Arabidopsis thaliana: one gene and its partner. The protein of the gene in region 2 purifies or fractionates together with the protein of the main gene of each other region. This does not show direct contact. Each region holds a gene or a part of one and is shown on either strand. Other genes may lie near its edges.

What was found. Proteins that work in one complex are often made in the same cells at the same time.
Region 1: the proteins of AT1G74270 (region 2) and AT1G15250 fractionate together in Arabidopsis thaliana (co-fractionation; one large-scale study listed by BioGRID). This does not show direct contact.

The regions. Positions count from the first base shown.
Region 1 is NC_003070.9:5,248,107-5,251,775, reverse strand, and holds AT1G15250 (Zinc-binding ribosomal protein family protein), read left to right. Parts: upstream 1-2,099; 5' UTR 2,100-2,110; intron 2,111-2,212; 5' UTR 2,213-2,394; coding exon 2,395-2,397; intron 2,398-2,471; coding exon 2,472-2,607; intron 2,608-2,713; coding exon 2,714-2,815; intron 2,816-2,904; coding exon 2,905-2,951; 3' UTR 2,952-3,112; downstream 3,113-3,669. Other genes in the region: AT1G15270 (Translation machinery associated TMA7), read left to right, coding at 285-326, 863-943; AT1G15260 (LOW protein: ATP-dependent RNA helicase-like protein), read right to left, coding at 1,406-1,942; AT1G15240 (phox (PX) domain-containing protein), read right to left, coding at 3,172-3,309, 3,392-3,474, 3,575-3,669. UniProt on the Arabidopsis thaliana protein: Binds to the 23S rRNA.
Region 2 is NC_003070.9:27,927,709-27,931,464, forward strand, and holds AT1G74270 (Ribosomal protein L35Ae family protein), read right to left. Parts: upstream 1,830-3,756; 5' UTR 1,759-1,829; coding exon 1,727-1,758; intron 1,498-1,726; coding exon 1,462-1,497; intron 1,072-1,461; coding exon 843-1,071; intron 749-842; coding exon 707-748; 3' UTR 463-706; downstream 1-462. Other genes in the region: PUR4 (purine biosynthesis 4), read right to left, coding at 15-56; AT1G74280 (alpha/beta-Hydrolases superfamily protein), read left to right, coding at 2,050-2,370, 2,621-3,418.

The sequences.
Region 1 (3,669 bases), about 23 Mb from region 2:
TTATATTGTTAGCTTTAGACCTCGAATCAAACGATGCTTTTGCTCTGGATCTGGTTTTGATTGTCCAACTAACTTGAATTCTTAAAATTTGTTAACATTCAGTGACTCATAAATCATTAATTTTGCTCGGATTCAATGATTTATACGCAAGTTCGAATTTTGATCCAGTGTTTTTAAGGGCACAGTCTTGACTTCTTCACTTGATTTTGTTTGCATACTATTTGTGTATTAATGACTCTTAGACATTCTCTAATTGCTGAAATGTTGATTTGGTATCAATGCAGACTGACTTAGCTAACATTCAGAAGAAGAAAGATGAGGAAAAGGTGAGTTCCCACTTTGATGCTCTGACTTGTTTTCTCTTTTTGTTCATATGAAGTTTTGTGATTGGAAAAATGCATCTAGTTAAACTTATATGTTTGGGCTCCTCTTTCAATGGAAAGCTATAAAATACGAATCAAAGATTGTATCTTCACAAGAGAGCTTCTGTTTAGATACATAGGTTTGTAAAGGTTTTGTAAAGGTTGTGCATTAATATGTTCCACTTTGTCAGTTTGGTCTACTAATCAAGCTGACTCTAATTATGACTTTATAGCTGGTGACTACAACTAGATGGGTCATTTCTATTAATTATTTGTTAGTTTAGGGGTATTCATTACAGATTCTTTTGAGATGATATGGACTAGTTTCTTCTTACTTTGATGAAATAGTGACCATTTGCCCATGTTAGGATGTTTAGTCTACTTTTTTTCCACCCAATTGTGTGAAAGACTCATTAGCCTTTCTTTCGCATGAGAAGTACAGTGATCATTTGTTACCGAAAGCCTGACCTGTTTTGTTTTGAATGAAAATGATAAAACAGGCCCTTAAAGAGCTTAGAGCCAAGGCATCGCAGAAGGGATCCTTTGGAGGTTCTGGACTTAAGAAGAGTGGCAAGAAATGATCCGTTTTATCCATGAAGTGTGTTTTAAAATGCAAATTTATCAAGTGAAAAAAACAGATAATCCTGTGTTGATGTAACTTTTTATCATAATTCGAGAAGAGTAACTTCGCTTCTCCATACATATGTTTGCTTTCTCCATTTTTTCATGAAAAAGAAAAGTGGTATCTACCCTAAAATCATTTTGTCAAGAATCGAGTAGTAGGGTGTCACATCTCTATCTTCAGATATAGTATTATAAACTGTAAGTTGTCATAACTTGAAGTGGAAAATATGTTGCATTGATAGTAGTTGAGAATAGGAGCGTAACTTGACTCTACAAGATGAGGTAGAAACTGAGGGTGGTGACAGGTGATTTTACCAAAGCGGTGTGTGTAATGGTTAACACTGTTCTTAAGAAGTGCATACTCTATAGATGAAAGAACTACAGATAGCCCGTGAAAGCAAAGCTGATCCAGAGGAACTTTAAAGCCTGAAGGAGCCTGCCTTTCTCCTTGAACCGTTGATCTTAGCAGAGGTACGAGGATCAGAGAACTCGTAATACATGTCTGTGAAGAAATTGTCAACAATGTCAAGATACACAGGACTTCTGATGCTTGAATAGCATCGAAGCGCTTCCCTTACATCCAATGCGTGATCCACGTCTCTCAGATCCACCATATTGAGATCTTTCATCTTTTGCGCCAACGCGTCACCTCTTTTCTTTGCATCCTCGAATGGCTCAGCGACTTTCTTCGGTTTCTTTTTATGTTGGTTGTTGAGACTCTTCTGGTGTGTTGTATCTGCCACAGCCGTGTCACAACAGATAACGGTGTAGCTTTCTTTGGTTTGGGTTTGGGAATCTTCTGGACAGCGGCGGCTGCAGGAGTAAGGGCTCAAGAGAGGAGTGTCGTTAGGTAAGTTTTTGTAATCACTAGAGCAGATAGTGGACTTGATGCTCCCAAGAGTCTTCTTTAAGAAACGACCAACTCTCTGAATTGATTTTGATGTAGGTTTCATCATCTTTCTTGCTGCTCATTTTTTTGAGAAGATAACCATATTTATGTCACTAGGGATCTCAAAAGGAAACCTAACATTGATTTAGTGGCATGTAGTAGTTGAAGAAGCAAGCTGATAGTGTCAGACTTTAAGAAGGTGTCATCTTGTTGATTGTGTTGTCCACTTTTATAGGTAAGCAATCGTCATCACATTGATAAGCAGTGTTCAAAATTGGTCCCCTACTTATCATTGCCACCACCACTCACTACTCATATTATATATACTGTATGCCAGTTGACTCGAGGTAATATCAGAACCAGGCCCATGAAGCCCATTAAGAAGCCCATATTTTTGGCGGTAACCAATGAAGATCCATTTTGGGTAGGAAAAACCCTAAAGGACGCTACACAGTCGTCTTCTCGGAGCCGCAAAGATTTCTGTAGAGCAAACTTTGATCATCCCCTGCATCTGCGGCAATGGTAATCTATTGGCATTTTTTTTCCATGTAAGCTCATGTGTGACTTATGTGTAACCGGTGCTTTGGAAATGACAGGGTAAAGGAACAGGGAGCTTTGGTAAGAGGAGGAACAAGTCACACACGCTCTGTGTGAGATGTGGTCGCCGGAGCTTTCACATCCAGAAGAGTCGTTGCTCGGCATGTGCTTATCCAGCTGCCAGAAAGAGGACATGTATGTACTCTCTCTCTATTTCTGTCTCTGTCTTGGAATTTTGGGTCTGATCATGGAGAATTGGAGATATATGAAAGAGTCCTGGAATTTATGATTTTGTGTGCAGATAACTGGAGTGTGAAGGCAATAAGAAGAAAGACAACAGGAACTGGTAGGATGAGGTATCTCCGTAATGTCCCTCGAAGGTTCAAGACTTGCTTTAGAGAAGGTAAAGCTACATTGCACCCTTTGCTTCACTTAAATATTTGATATAATCTAAGACTTGCTCAATCTGATCGATGGAATTCTGTGAATCAGGTACGCAAGCCACCCCAAGAAACAAAGCTGCAGCTTCGTCTTCCTAGGCATTGTTCAGTTTGCGTTTTGCCATCTCTTTCTTGCTATGTAGCTTTTTTTTTTAATTCGTTTGTTTATCTTTTTTGCTCTTGTACTTCCTTTACTGTGCAATCCTATTTCTGATAGTGTGATCACTCATCAATGAAATGCATCCGTGCTATTACTGTTTAAAGAATTCTAGCAAAACTCCACGTAATATGGAAGATGATTACAATGAAAATCCAAGTATCAGTTCGGTGGTGTATATTGACCAAAGAGGTGTTTTTCGTAGTGCAATTTTTTGAAAGCTTGCTCCATTTCCGGAAACGCTGATAGTAGCAACAACTCCAAAATGTCAAACGCCAATTGCTTCAAACACACTGATGACTGAAACAAGAATAATTTTAACAATGAAATCATCAAATGCATGTAAGCATCGCACAAACCTGAAATCAAGTGGAATGTTTACCTGAAGGAAAAAGTAAAGATCTTCTGCACATTGTTCATACTCCTTTTGTCCTATAAGACTCACTATAGTAGCTGGGGCTTTTTCTGTGAGTTGAGGGTTTATTTCAAACATTTATGTTAGTTCAATTAAGCTTCGCAATCATTGATGCAAAAAAAAAAAATCAGATAACAGGACGCTCATTACCGATCATCAGCTCATGAACAAACTTTGCTCGTCTCTCTGCTTCTTGTTTCTGCTCCTCTTCAGAAATGCTGGATTGTTGCTGCCTTTTTGGATGC
Region 2 (3,756 bases):
AAGAGAATATTTACGTTTAGAAACAGAGCCGCACGAGTTGCTTGGGAGGTATTCATCGTCGCGAGATATGACCGGAACAGCAAACAAAGTGAAAAGAGGGTTTAGGGTTTTTCTCTGTTACTGTCTTAACGGGACCGAAGCTCCGACTCCGAGAGTACGGCAGTCGACACAGAGTTCTTGTCTGGTCTCTCTTCTCAACGAATCTTAGGTTTGTTGGTACTTTTTTGTTTACATGAGAACAAAATTCTGATTGAAAATTCTAAAGTTGAGCCTAGGTAAGCCCAATAAAGGTCTAATGGGCCTAAGGGCCGATATCACAAATCGAGTTTCAAATGTTTCAGTTTACAACTTCAATCAGCTCTTGTTTTTTGATTATTTTGAGTGATTTTCGATTTTCAGACTTCAACAATTAACATATGCCATGGATGATTCTGAGAATTTAAGTGTTTCTAAGAACTAATTATAAAGTTGTAATAGTGATTTGAGAAAATATGTTACCATTCGTCTGTTTTAATTCGTTATAAAAGGGGAAAAGGGAGTCTAATTTGGGATGAAAAACCGGATCCATGATCAAAGTCAATTTAGAGAATCTCCAAACACTTCAAACAAAGAAAGGAAATGCTTTCAATATCAAAATACAAAATAACAAACTAGTGAACAAAACCAAGGCGGCTAAATTATAAGTTTAAGCCATTTTTGCATTGCTTCATATGTTACTCGGATACATGAAGACTCTCACTCTGCTTCCCTGCAAGAACATAAGGAATAATATCTTGTTAAAAACCCAAGCAAAAGATTTCACTTCTAAACAGAGAAGATGATTATAGAATCTGTTTAAGTACCATGGACTTGGGAGGAAGGTTGGATGTGAATTTGGCACGGACAACACCGCTGTTACCGTGAGGCCTGGTAACCTTTCCCCAGATACAGCGGTAGTGGCTACCGTTCTTCTTTGTCTTAGCCTTGTAGATGTAAGCCATCCTCTTTCCCTTGTACCAGTTTACCTCCTCCTGAGTGTTAACTCCTTCGATCTGGACGAGGGACGTGTTTGGATACTGGTTGGACTTCGACCTGCACACCATAGTAAATGTCAGACCAGAGGAAGTATCAAACAGTAAGGTCTCGGTTTTCAGCATGACAAGGTTATTAAAGCAGAACTCAGTTAACAACAGTGTTGATTAATAGAAATACAAAGCAGCTCAAAAATAAAATGCCAGATAAGTGTCCTAAGAAATGTAGACAACTAACTAATCAAGAGTCAAAATGTTCCCATTTAGTGAAAGCATCAGACACATAATCTGATCATAAGTGGACGAGAAGCTTGGTTATAGGACTCGTTTCTGTCAAATTGGCTTACATAAATACCAATCAACGTTCATTACATGGAATCTTATTGGCGTCCAATCATAAGCTATAAGCAGTGTAAAATGGAAAACGAAAGCGATGAAAGAAATGGGTCACCTTTTGTATCCGAGGATGGTTCCCCTCACGTAGAGTCTGCAAAATTAGATAACATAAAAAGAATCAGACTTTCGCATTATCGATGATTACAAGATTACTAAACCATGAAGAATCAGCTCAAATCTAGACAATAACAATAGTAGCAAAACAGTTTCAGAAGTGAGGAAAACAGAGCAAATCTCAAATGATACACCGATAGAAAACCATCTTGGTGATATAGATCAAACTTGAAGAAGAACGAAAAGAGAAATAGAAGAAGAAAGACCTGACTCGTTCTCCTTGGCGTCCCTTGACCATTTTCGATTCCGCCGAATATCCAAAGGCTGCTGCTGCTACTCGAGGGAGAAAAACGAAGAAGAAGCCCTAATATGGGCTTATGGGCCTTAACACTATTGGGGCATTAGTATATTAAGCATCTTGGGCCATTACTATAATGAATAACATATAAAAATGGGCTTCTCTATTTTTATCTCAAAACAACAACAAAAAAACGATCTCTATGTTGTAGTTCTTGAACAGTTGGCTCTCTTTTCAAGAATCGTCGCCGTTGACCTCCGTGCCTCTCCGATCAACTTCCCATTCTTTTAAATGACGAGAGATTCATCAAGGAACAGCTCATTAAAGCCATGGCCTCGAAAAAAATTTCTTTTTCCTTCTGTTGTGATTGTCATTGTTGGGATAATCGTGGCGTTTACTTATCAGTCCAAGTTGAAACCACCTCCGCCGAAGCTATGTGGCTCCTCCGGTGGTCCACCGATCACAGCGCCGCGGATAAAGCTTCAAGATGGGAGGTATTTGGCTTACAAAGAGCATGGACTTCCAAGAGAGAAAGCTAACCGCAAAATCGTCTTCATCCATGGATCCGATTGTTGTAGACACGATGCCGTTTTCGCCACTCTGCTTTCTCCGGTAAGTTTTACACAATCAAGATTATGCATGTCTATATGCTTCTATCGTTGATTTGATAGATAGTTGTTATGTAATAATACTTTGATCACTATGTTTTAATCATTTATTTAGTTAGTGGCATGTTAATTTGTAGCAAGTAGTGTTGTTAAAAATCCTTGTAGTATAGAGAAGTTTAGTGAGAAAGTTATTTGAGAGTGACGTTTTCGGTTTTTTATTGGGACCTCTAACAGTGTGTCAATACATTTTATAGGATTTAGTAGAGGAACTAGGTGTATATATGGTTTCATTCGACAGACCGGGCTATTGTGAGAGTGATCCGCATCCAAGTCGTACACCGCGAAGCTTGGTTTCGGATATTGAAGAGCTAGCTGATCAGTTGAGTCTAGGATCGAAATTTTATGTGCTCGGGTACTCGATGGGAGGACAAGCAGCATGGGGATGTCTTAAATACATTCCTCATAGGTTAGCCGGAGTAACACTAGTTGCTCCAGTGGTTAACTATTATTGGAAGAACTTACCTTTGAACGTTTCCACTGAAGGTTTTAACTTTCAACAAAAGAGAGATCAATTGGCAGTTCGTGTTGCTCACTATACTCCTTGGCTTATCTATTGGTGGAACACACAAAAATGGTTCCCTGGTTCGAGTATTGCAAACCGAGATCACAGTCTCTTGGCACAGCCGGATAAAGATATCATTTCGAAGCTTGGTTCTTCGAGGAAACCACATTGGGCAGAGGTAAGGCAGCAAGGAATACATGAGAGTATTAACCGTGACATGATCGTTGGTTTTGGGAACTGGGAATTTGGTCCTTTAGACCTCGAGAATCCGTTTTTGAATAAGGAAGGCTCTGTGCATTTGTGGCAAGGAGATGAGGACATGTTAGTACCTGCGAAGCTGCAGCGTTACCTTGCTCATCAGCTTCCATGGGTTCACTATCATGAGGTTCCGAGAAGTGGCCACTTCTTCCACTACACTAAAGGTGTAGTTGATGACATTGTAAAGTCGCTCTTAACCTCCGATGTAAGAGCATCTAGAGTTTGTATTTGATCATTTGTAGCTTCCAAAAACTCTGAAAAAAAATCCCAAAAAAATACACGGATACAATAGAGTTATGTACTAGTTACATTTGTCAGCATCGTAGTTTATTTTTATTTGGTTACACGTGTAATTTAATCGACCAAGCCTTCATCAATTGTCTTGTCAAGCTTATCATGTTCTTTAATTTGATCTTTTAGCAACATGTGTTTGGTCTTTTTGTTTTATATTCTATGTTAGTCTTTTAATTAAGAGAATGAAGAATTCATCTACTTGAGTGTCTACTAGATTTGCCTTAGTGTCTAATACATCATTAATTAAAGTTTTTGGTACAATCTAAACTAGGCCTA